Saccharomyces cerevisiae S288C: one gene and its partner. Changing the gene in region 1 together with any one later gene gives a genetic interaction. Each region holds a gene or a part of one and is shown on either strand. Other genes may lie near its edges.

Region 1 (4,836 bases):
CTTTACTTTTACTTTAAACTATGGCATTACATTCCAGCTTTTCAAGAGTTATTAGTGATTCATTACTTATAAAGTTTTTCCGACCACATTTTGATACTTTGTACCTGATATAGATAAAACAATTACCTTATAAATTGATTCTCTCATATTTATCTTGATGAGAAAACGATTGAGGAGATTTGTGTGTAATTTGGTTCTCGTAACAAATACCATTAAATAATCCTTGACTAGTAATACATACCAAACAAAGAACGATTTGCGGATACTCAGCCGCACGAAAATTTCTAAAATTGAACTAAATCCTTTAGGATATATAAAAGGGCACAAAGTGAGAACGTAAAAACAGCATTATAAAGATATTGTAATGAAGAAATTTATGCTCATTTAGTATGTGGAAATACCTTCATAGATCAGTCAAAAATGAAGGGACCGTAGAACGGCTCACTAACCTCAACTTATTTACCAATCACCGTTTCAAGTTTTATTCTACATTAAAGGAACAAAGTTTTTGGAGAATACCATTCAAAAGAAGGAGCAAATTACAGAAATGGGTGTTATCGACAGGCATCGTAAGTTTCATCGCTTTTAACATATGGTGGGTTTATTGGCCACATCATACTTTTCCCAAACCCGTTGCTAAAATATTAAGGAAGGGGTTACATTCAGAAATTAAGAAAGAAGGTGCGAACTACCAAAAAAGCCTTGAGTACTACCTCGAAGCTTTAGAAGAATGTAAAGCCGAAAACGTGGATCTACTTTCGGATGAATATACCGGTATTGAAATCAAAATCGGAGAAATGTATGAGAAATTACATATGTATAATGATGCTACAGCTTTATATGGAGACATGCTGAAAAAGTTCTATAATGAACTAAGCAAAACTACTGATAAGTCAACGAAGAGAAAATTCTTTTTGTTGAAAAGAGACCTTCAAATTTTGGTAAGGTTCAATGAAATAAATAAAGACTCTGAAACTAATGCAACGTTATTGATAATGCACCTTTTATTAGCTCAACGAGAATTTTTGGAGAACTCACCGGAGTTCAAAAATGTTCTTTCCAAATCAGAACTTTTAAACAACCAACAGCTTGACTGGAAGAATTTCAAGGGTCTACCATTTATTGGTAAATCCAAACCTGACTACCAAATGCATTTAAACTCTAAAAGAAAACAGGAGTTGAAGATAAAGGAACCTGAAAGCGAACAATGCGTTTTCATGAAAGAACTTCTGACTGCAAGAGATTTATATACTCGTTACTGTCTCAATCGGAGTAATCTTTCTGGGGCCTTGAATAGCAAAATAACAACACTAGAATGGATGTTACTAGCGGATAGTCCTCTGGACGACATCTTGCTTGCCCAGGCAGAGCTCGGGTCGATTTTTTATCTAAATTCAGAGAAGTTCGAAGGAAGTCTATACGCTATTGATAATGAACCGTACAAAAAATCAGAACCTTTAGAACTTATTCGGTCCAGGTTACAAGAAAACCAGAATTCCTGCTTACAGTACTCGGCTGACTGCTATAAAAGTATTATCAGCTTTGCCAATGAAAATCAATATCCAAAAGTTGCAATGGAAAGCGAAATGGATCAGAGAATACTTAAGGCATTATCCCTTGCTCACTACGGTATTGGTGTGATAAATTTGCATAAGGGACGCTTGAGGGCATCTAAGAAGGAACTTAAAAAGGCTATTCGTATTTCAGAGATGATTAGATTTAATGAACTCATTGAGGAAGCTCAACGTGAACTTAAAAAGGTTGATGGTACGCCTATATAAATCTTACATTTGTATATATATTCTTCTAAATTTTCATCAATATGTTGAAATGCCGAAAGATGTCGATTCCTCATTGGATATGGCGAATTTTACGTCACCGCCTCATGAACAAAAGTGAGAAAAATACATATATAGCGTCAAAATCAAAACAAATGATGAATTTACTTGCAAAGACTAAATGTGTAAGGGAATAGGTATCAGAACATTAAGTGAAGGCGCCGAAAGTAATATCAGTAATGCTTCGCACGATAATATTGAAAGCCGGGTCCAATGCCTCCATACCGTCACCTTCCCGCCAAAATAAGTTACTCAGGTTCTTCGCCACAGCCGGCGCAGTCTCTAGGACCAGTCCAGGAAGCATTAAGAAGATTTTCGACGACAATTCATATTGGAGAAATATTAATGGTCAGGATGCTAATAATAGCAAGATCTCACAATATCTTTTTAAAAAAAATAAAACCGGACTTTTCAAGAACCCTTATTTGACTTCTCCAGATGGTTTGCGTAAGTTTAGCCAGGTTTCTTTGCAGCAAGCACAAGAACTTCTCGACAAAATGAGGAATGATTTTAGCGAGAGTGGTAAATTAACCTATATTATGAACCTGGACAGATTAAGCGATACGCTATGTCGAGTTATTGATTTGTGCGAGTTTATTAGGTCAACACATCCAGATGATGCATTTGTTAGGGCAGCACAAGATTGCCATGAACAAATGTTTGAATTCATGAATGTCTTGAACACTGATGTTTCCTTATGTAACATACTAAAGTCGGTTTTAAACAATCCAGAAGTGTCTTCGAAGTTAAGCGCAGAAGAACTTAAAGTTGGTAAAATATTATTGGATGATTTTGAAAAGTCAGGAATCTATATGAATCCAGATGTTAGAGAAAAGTTTATCCAGTTATCTCAGGAAATCAGTTTAGTAGGTCAAGAATTCATCAACCATACAGACTATCCTGGTTCAAATTCTGTGAAGATACCATGTAAAGATCTGGATAATAGTAAAGTGAGTACATTTCTATTGAAGCAATTAAATAAAGATGTAAAAGGGCAAAATTATAAAGTACCTACATTTGGGTATGCAGCTTATGCATTATTAAAAAGTTGTGAAAATGAGATGGTAAGAAAAAAGTTGTGGACCGCTCTTCACAGTTGTTCTGACAAACAGGTTAAAAGATTGAGTCACTTAATCAAACTAAGGGCAATCTTGGCTAATTTAATGCACAAAACAAGTTACGCAGAGTATCAATTGGAAGGTAAAATGGCAAAGAATCCGAAAGATGTTCAAGATTTTATTTTGACGTTAATGAACAATACTATAGAGAAGACAGCAAATGAATTGAAATTTATAGCTGAACTCAAGGCCAAAGATCTTAAGAAGCCGTTGACTACAAACACGGACGAAATATTGAAGCTCGTGAGACCATGGGATAGGGATTACTATACTGGCAAATATTTCCAGCTCAACCCGTCAAACTCTCCCAATGCCAAAGAAATAAGCTATTATTTTACATTAGGAAATGTCATTCAGGGCTTGTCAGATTTGTTTCAGCAAATATATGGTATTAGATTAGAGCCAGCAATTACTGATGAGGGAGAAACATGGTCCCCAGACGTGAGAAGATTGAATGTGATATCTGAAGAGGAAGGAATCATCGGCATAATTTATTGTGATTTATTCGAACGAAATGGCAAGACTTCAAATCCGGCTCATTTCACAGTTTGTTGCTCTAGGCAAATATATCCCAGTGAAACTGATTTCTCAACCATCCAAGTCGGTGAGAATCCAGACGGTACCTACTTTCAATTACCTGTTATTTCTTTGGTGTGTAATTTTTCTCCAATACTAATCGCTTCTAAAAAAAGTCTTTGTTTTTTGCAGCTTAGTGAAGTTGAAACGCTCTTCCATGAAATGGGACATGCAATGCACTCAATGTTAGGGAGAACTCATATGCAAAACATAAGTGGTACAAGATGTGCTACTGATTTTGTAGAGTTACCAAGTATCCTGATGGAGCACTTCGCTAAGGATATACGAATTCTGACAAAGATTGGCAAACATTACGGGACTGGAGAAACAATTCAGGCTGATATGTTACAGCGCTTCATGAAAAGCACTAACTTCCTTCAAAATTGTGAAACATACTCTCAAGCAAAGATGGCTATGCTGGATCAATCATTTCATGATGAAAAAATCATTTCTGATATTGATAACTTTGACGTTGTGGAAAACTATCAAGCACTAGAACGACGTTTAAAGGTCCTAGTGGACGATCAGAGTAATTGGTGTGGAAGATTCGGCCATTTATTTGGATACGGGGCAACTTATTACAGCTACTTATTTGATAGGACGATAGCTTCTAAAATCTGGTACGCCCTTTTCGAGGATGATCCGTACAGTCGAAAAAATGGTGATAAATTTAAAAAGCATTTACTAAAATGGGGAGGGCTAAAAGACCCTTGGAAATGTATCGCTGATGTTTTAGAATGCCCCATGCTAGAGAAAGGCGGTAGCGATGCGATGGAATTTATAGCACAGTCTCACAAGTCTTAGAGAACAGAGTAGGTGCTTAATCGAGGCCATTATTTGCCAACGACGTTTATTCATAGCTGAAGAATTCTTTTCACCAAGAAAAAAAAATTGCATAATCTTATAAATACTAAGACCCATTATTTAAAAGGGTCTGAAAACCATCGATCATATTGCCTGAAAAACGAACATGCATATGTTAATTAACGCTTTACAAACAGAGCATAATTATTGTTATTCTTTTATATACTTCATGTCTTATTGTCACATCTACTGTTTTCGCGTACAGAATGATATTATGAGTTTCAAATCTTGTAGTAATATCAGAAAGAGCTCTTTTCAGTGAAGAAAGCCTACGATATAAAGAACACTTTCCCAATGACTAAGCGTTATCTGTTGTAGCTTTATTGTCATAATACACCAATTATCTGGGTACGAACTCACTTCCTGCAGCTTAGTTTTTTTTTTTGCTCAGCTTCCCACTGCACTTAAAAAACAGTTTCAACTATGCCACCATTGGATAA
Region 2 (4,898 bases), on another chromosome or scaffold:
CGGATGGCCCAATTTTCCATCTGTTTTGTAGATCCGGATTAGTTTCCCCATCGTATATGTCTTCCTTAACAAACTCCTTCTCATTTCCGTCTTTTAAGTCATTGTTAAAATATATGGATCCAAATGCATTTAATTTCAATGACACTAACTTCGACTGAAAATCAGAAACTTGTTTAATAACATTGTCATATTTTTTTTGATTGGAGGAACCGTCTTCAATCAATGGATCCCAATCTTTCATCAAGAGTTCTCCTTCGATAAATTCTTGTAAGACAAAAGGCTGCCTTACAGGGTTCAAAGAATTGACACCATAACAAAAAATCTTGGGAACTTTGATGCCCAACTTCAAGTCAGCAAAATCCATGGTTGCTACTTCACTTCTTATTCTGTAGGATAGAGTGTTTTCATTTTCCAGCGGATAAGGAATCCTCAAGATAAATGCCTTGTTCAAATTCGTGTCGACCTTGTATATTCTGTGATGTTTACCTTCGTGAATACTAGATAATGTGGTTACTTGAACTTTTTCATTTGGGTTGATTTTACCTATATTCTTTGGTACAACGTTATTGACCAATGAAACGGTCAAGTTCTTGTTAAACACTGGTGGTAAGATCTTACCGTCGGGGGCCTTAGCCATTTCATTAGATTGAATGTAGATGTCATTGAGAATGCGATTTAAACCTTCAATCGAAAACTTCGTGAATCTTTTTTCCTTTTCTTGCTTATCATTTTTAAGCCATGAGCCCCACGTATATTTGAAAAAGGCATCTCTCTTTGGATCATTGTCATTCGTTAGCTTGGTAAAAACTTCGTTTGGCTTATTGGAGATAAATCTCTTGGTGGCGGCGACGGTGATACATTTAATTGCACCCACTCTTTTCGAAGCTCCTACTACACACCTTCTGGAATGGCCAGCAACAGTGTACCTAATCATGCTTGGTCTTCGTATTGCTGTCTTGCTTGCTAAACAGCTTTTGCTACTTCTTCTTCGCTGATGAGAAAAGGGAGTCTACTAAATACAGTTCGGCTTAAAGTGTCGCTGGTCAGCAATCGGCCCGAAAATACATTGAACATTTGAAATTACCATGTTTCAAAACGAATATTTATTATAATTATTACTAGTAAAAGTTATACATAAGAAGGGAATAATACAAAGAAACGGGAAACAGCTAAATGTAGTATATAGCCGAAAGATGTGGACATATCCCAACAAATCGTCTTATGAGATCCTTTTTTTGTTTTATATTTTTTTTTTTTAGCGGGTATAAACGTATCATTTATATATTTTATTCTTTCCTTTAACTCTCAAAATTTGAGCAATTAGGTTACTGTGGTTCACGTGATTCAAGTGTGCACATTGCTGCTATGCTTTGTAGTATTATCCATAGAGTTTAGGGAGGGGGAATGGTCGGAGAGTGGGTAATTTGCATTGTCTAATGGAGCAGAATCAGCGTTACTTTTCTGGAAATAAAACTGGTCCGATAACGAAGTAGTAGAATCAGAGGTGAGATTGGAGTTGGAAGTGGTGTTGAGTTTGTAAAACTTTTCGGTTTGATCATGCGATACCTTGTATTTGTCATCCTTGTCATTCTTCTTTTTTTTGTTCTTCTTTTTGTTCTTAGGGTCTACCATATTGCTAGTCTTCGGGGTAGGAGACTTTGTTCCATTATTGTGATCATATTGTTTTCGAACCATGGAATTCAATAAATTAAGTGAATATTTCGGAATCCCATCTCTTTTGACATTAATCCCCTGAATACCATCCTTCGTGGCAATCATGGAGGCACCTGATGTGATGGAGCAACCTGAGTTCGTTCTCGTTATCCTATCTTCACCAGAGGCAATATTGGAAGGGCTCATTGATCTCTGATCTAAGTCCAGGTTAGTAGACCTGTTATTAGTGTAAATGGACTGATCATAGAGAGAGATGGCAGATGCAACATCTTTTGAGCTTATTGAATGTGATGAATCAGGCATTATTAACTATTCGCTTCCTTTTCTTATCTCAGCAGTTTGTGTTTTTTATTCTTATTGTTATTATCCCTTTTAACTATATATGCATAAGCTAAGTTAAATATTAAAATATTTATATATAAACGTTACAGGGCGTGTGAACACATTTGAAAAAATGCTGGAAGGTAATGGTAGATATAAGAATTGGAATAACAGGTTGATAGAGAATCGCCAAGCTAGAGAGTTCTGACAAGCGGCAAGGGGGAAGGATGAGACGCAGATACGAAAGCCGCACCATTAAACCGTAAAGAGAGAAAAATAAAGAATGACTTATTTCTCGGAAAGGCCAAATGCAATTATGCAACACGCACACATTCACACTCACACTCACACATAAACTTTGACTGAAACCAAAACTGTTGTGAGTAATAGCCTTTCTTGTTCATAAAATAGTACAAGATACAGTAAATATATATCAACTCACCTGGTATAGGGATCACTTACTGCACTGCAAAAGTGGATCGTTTGCGCAAGAAACTCCACCAATTCTAAAGAATATAATAGAAAAAGCTAATAGGAAAAGTGGTCATTTTCTGTTGATATGTTACATAGGATAAACCCAGTACGGTTTTCTATGCAATCTTGCCAAAGATACTTCTCGAAGTTGGTATCGCCATTGGAACAGCATAAAAGTAATACTTTTACTAATAGAGTCAGAATCCCCATTGAGGCAGGCCAACCACTGCATGAGACAAGGCCGTTCCTTATAAAGTCGGGCGAGTTGACACCAGGCATTTCAGCCTTGGAATACTATGAAAGAAGAATTAGGTTGGCGGAAACATTGCCTCCCAAAAGTTGTGTGATTTTAGCTGGTAACGATATCCAATTTGCATCTGGAGCAGTATTTTATCCGTTCCAACAGGAAAATGACCTGTTTTATCTTAGTGGTTGGAATGAACCTAATTCGGTCATGATTTTAGAAAAGCCAACGGATAGTTTAAGTGATACAATTTTCCACATGCTGGTTCCGCCAAAGGATGCGTTTGCTGAAAAGTGGGAAGGATTTAGGTCTGGGGTTTATGGTGTTCAAGAAATTTTCAATGCCGATGAATCTGCTTCCATTAACGATTTGTCTAAATATTTGCCCAAAATAATTAACAGGAATGATTTCATCTATTTTGATATGCTATCAACTTCTAATCCCAGTTCGTCCAATTTTAAACACATCAAGAGCCTGTTAGATGGCAGTGGGAATAGCAATCGATCATTGAATTCCATTGCGAATAAGACCATCAAACCCATCAGTAAAAGAATTGCAGAGTTCCGTAAGATCAAGTCCCCTCAAGAGTTGAGAATTATGAGGAGAGCTGGCCAAATATCAGGAAGATCGTTCAATCAAGCCTTTGCTAAAAGATTTAGGAATGAGAGAACTTTAGATTCCTTTCTTCATTACAAGTTTATATCCGGTGGTTGCGATAAGGACGCATATATCCCCGTGGTCGCTACTGGTTCGAATTCTTTGTGTATCCATTACACAAGAAACGATGATGTGATGTTTGACGACGAAATGGTTCTTGTAGACGCTGCTGGCTCCTTGGGTGGTTATTGTGCTGATATTTCGAGAACGTGGCCCAATAGTGGGAAATTCACTGATGCACAAAGAGATCTCTACGAAGCTGTATTAAATGTTCAGCGTGATTGCATTAAGTTATGTAAAGCTAGCAATAACTATTCCCTCCACGACATCCATGAAAAGAGTATCACACTCATGAAACAGGAATTGAAAAACTTGGGCATAGATAAAGTCTCCGGTTGGAATGTTGAAAAATTGTATCCGCACTATATTGGACACAATTTAGGTCTAGATGTTCACGATGTGCCTAAAGTTTCCAGGTACGAACCATTAAAGGTTGGACAAGTTATTACTATTGAACCGGGTTTATATATTCCTAACGAGGAATCATTTCCATCTTACTTTAGAAACGTCGGAATAAGAATTGAAGATGACATAGCCATTGGTGAAGATACTTACACTAATTTAACTGTTGAAGCAGTGAAAGAAATTGACGATTTAGAAAATGTCATGCAAAATGGCTTATCTACAAAATTCGAGGAGGACCAAGTGGCACCACTGTAATGTTATTGCTAAATTGAGTACACCCTGTATATACAGATACATAACTTATCGATTTAAGGTCTTTTAATATTAAACGGAAAATTCAAAAAAAAAAAAATTTACTGAAAATATCTTGAGATACTTTTCTTCAGCTTTCTTTTTGTTTTTTTCCTCTTCTTCTTGGGCACTGCTCTTTAGTTTTTATTTTTAGTTACGGCAAAATAAAGATGGGTCTAAAAATTACAAAAGGACAGCTGAGAACCAAGGATCTGAATCAATCATCCTCAAAGTCATCGCAGTCTTCAAGAATAGGTGTAGACACTTGTATATTTACTAGAATGCTACCCCGAATAAACACTGCAATTAATCTCACAGAGCATCTGCTGAGAAGATCTTTTCATTCACTGACAAATCTACAGAAAACTCAAGTAAAAGAAAGACTACATGAGCTAGAACGTCACGGTTTCATATTAAATAAAACATCCAAACAATTGGAAAGGATAAATTCTAAGAAAAGAAGACAATTGAAAAAACTGCAAAAGACAGCATACCCCAAGGATCAAGCTTTTCATATTCTTCGAAAATTTCATAAAATAAATAATGAGGCATTAGCAGATACAAAACTGGGGCCAACTAGCCAAAGCGACTTGAAGTTCCTATCCTTAACCAAAGATAAGAGACTCTTTTATACCATACTAGGCGTCAATGGAGAACAGTTACGTGATTCCAAATTAATCGCCAATGATGTTCAAAAATTTTTGAAAAGAGGACAACTGGAAAAAGCTGTCTTTTTGGCTAGGCTAGCTAAAAAGAAAGGCGTCGTTGGGAT

What was found. A genetic interaction does not mean that the proteins touch.
Region 2: mutations in OCT1 (region 1) and ICP55 impair growth when combined (synthetic growth defect), as found in Saccharomyces cerevisiae (one study listed by BioGRID).

The regions. Positions count from the first base shown.
Region 1 is NC_001143.9:188,624-193,459, reverse strand, and holds OCT1 (metalloendopeptidase), read left to right. Parts: upstream 1-2,017; coding exon 2,018-4,336; downstream 4,337-4,836. Other genes in the region: RCI50 (Rci50p), read left to right, coding at 390-1,781; APL2 (Apl2p), read left to right, coding at 4,820-4,836. UniProt on the Saccharomyces cerevisiae protein: Cleaves proteins, imported into the mitochondrion, to their mature size.
Region 2 is NC_001137.3:315,999-320,896, reverse strand, and holds ICP55 (aminopeptidase), read left to right. Parts: upstream 1-2,554; coding exon 2,555-4,090; downstream 4,091-4,898. Other genes in the region: AIM9 (Aim9p), read right to left, coding at 1-934; YER079W (uncharacterized protein), read right to left, coding at 1,345-1,977; YER078W-A (uncharacterized protein), read right to left, coding at 2,087-2,251; MRX1 (Mrx1p), read left to right, coding at 4,297-4,898. UniProt on the Saccharomyces cerevisiae protein: Aminopeptidase which cleaves preprotein intermediates that carry destabilizing N-ter amino acid residues after the mitochondrial processing peptidase (MPP) cleavage site and is thus critical for stabilization of the mitochondrial proteome.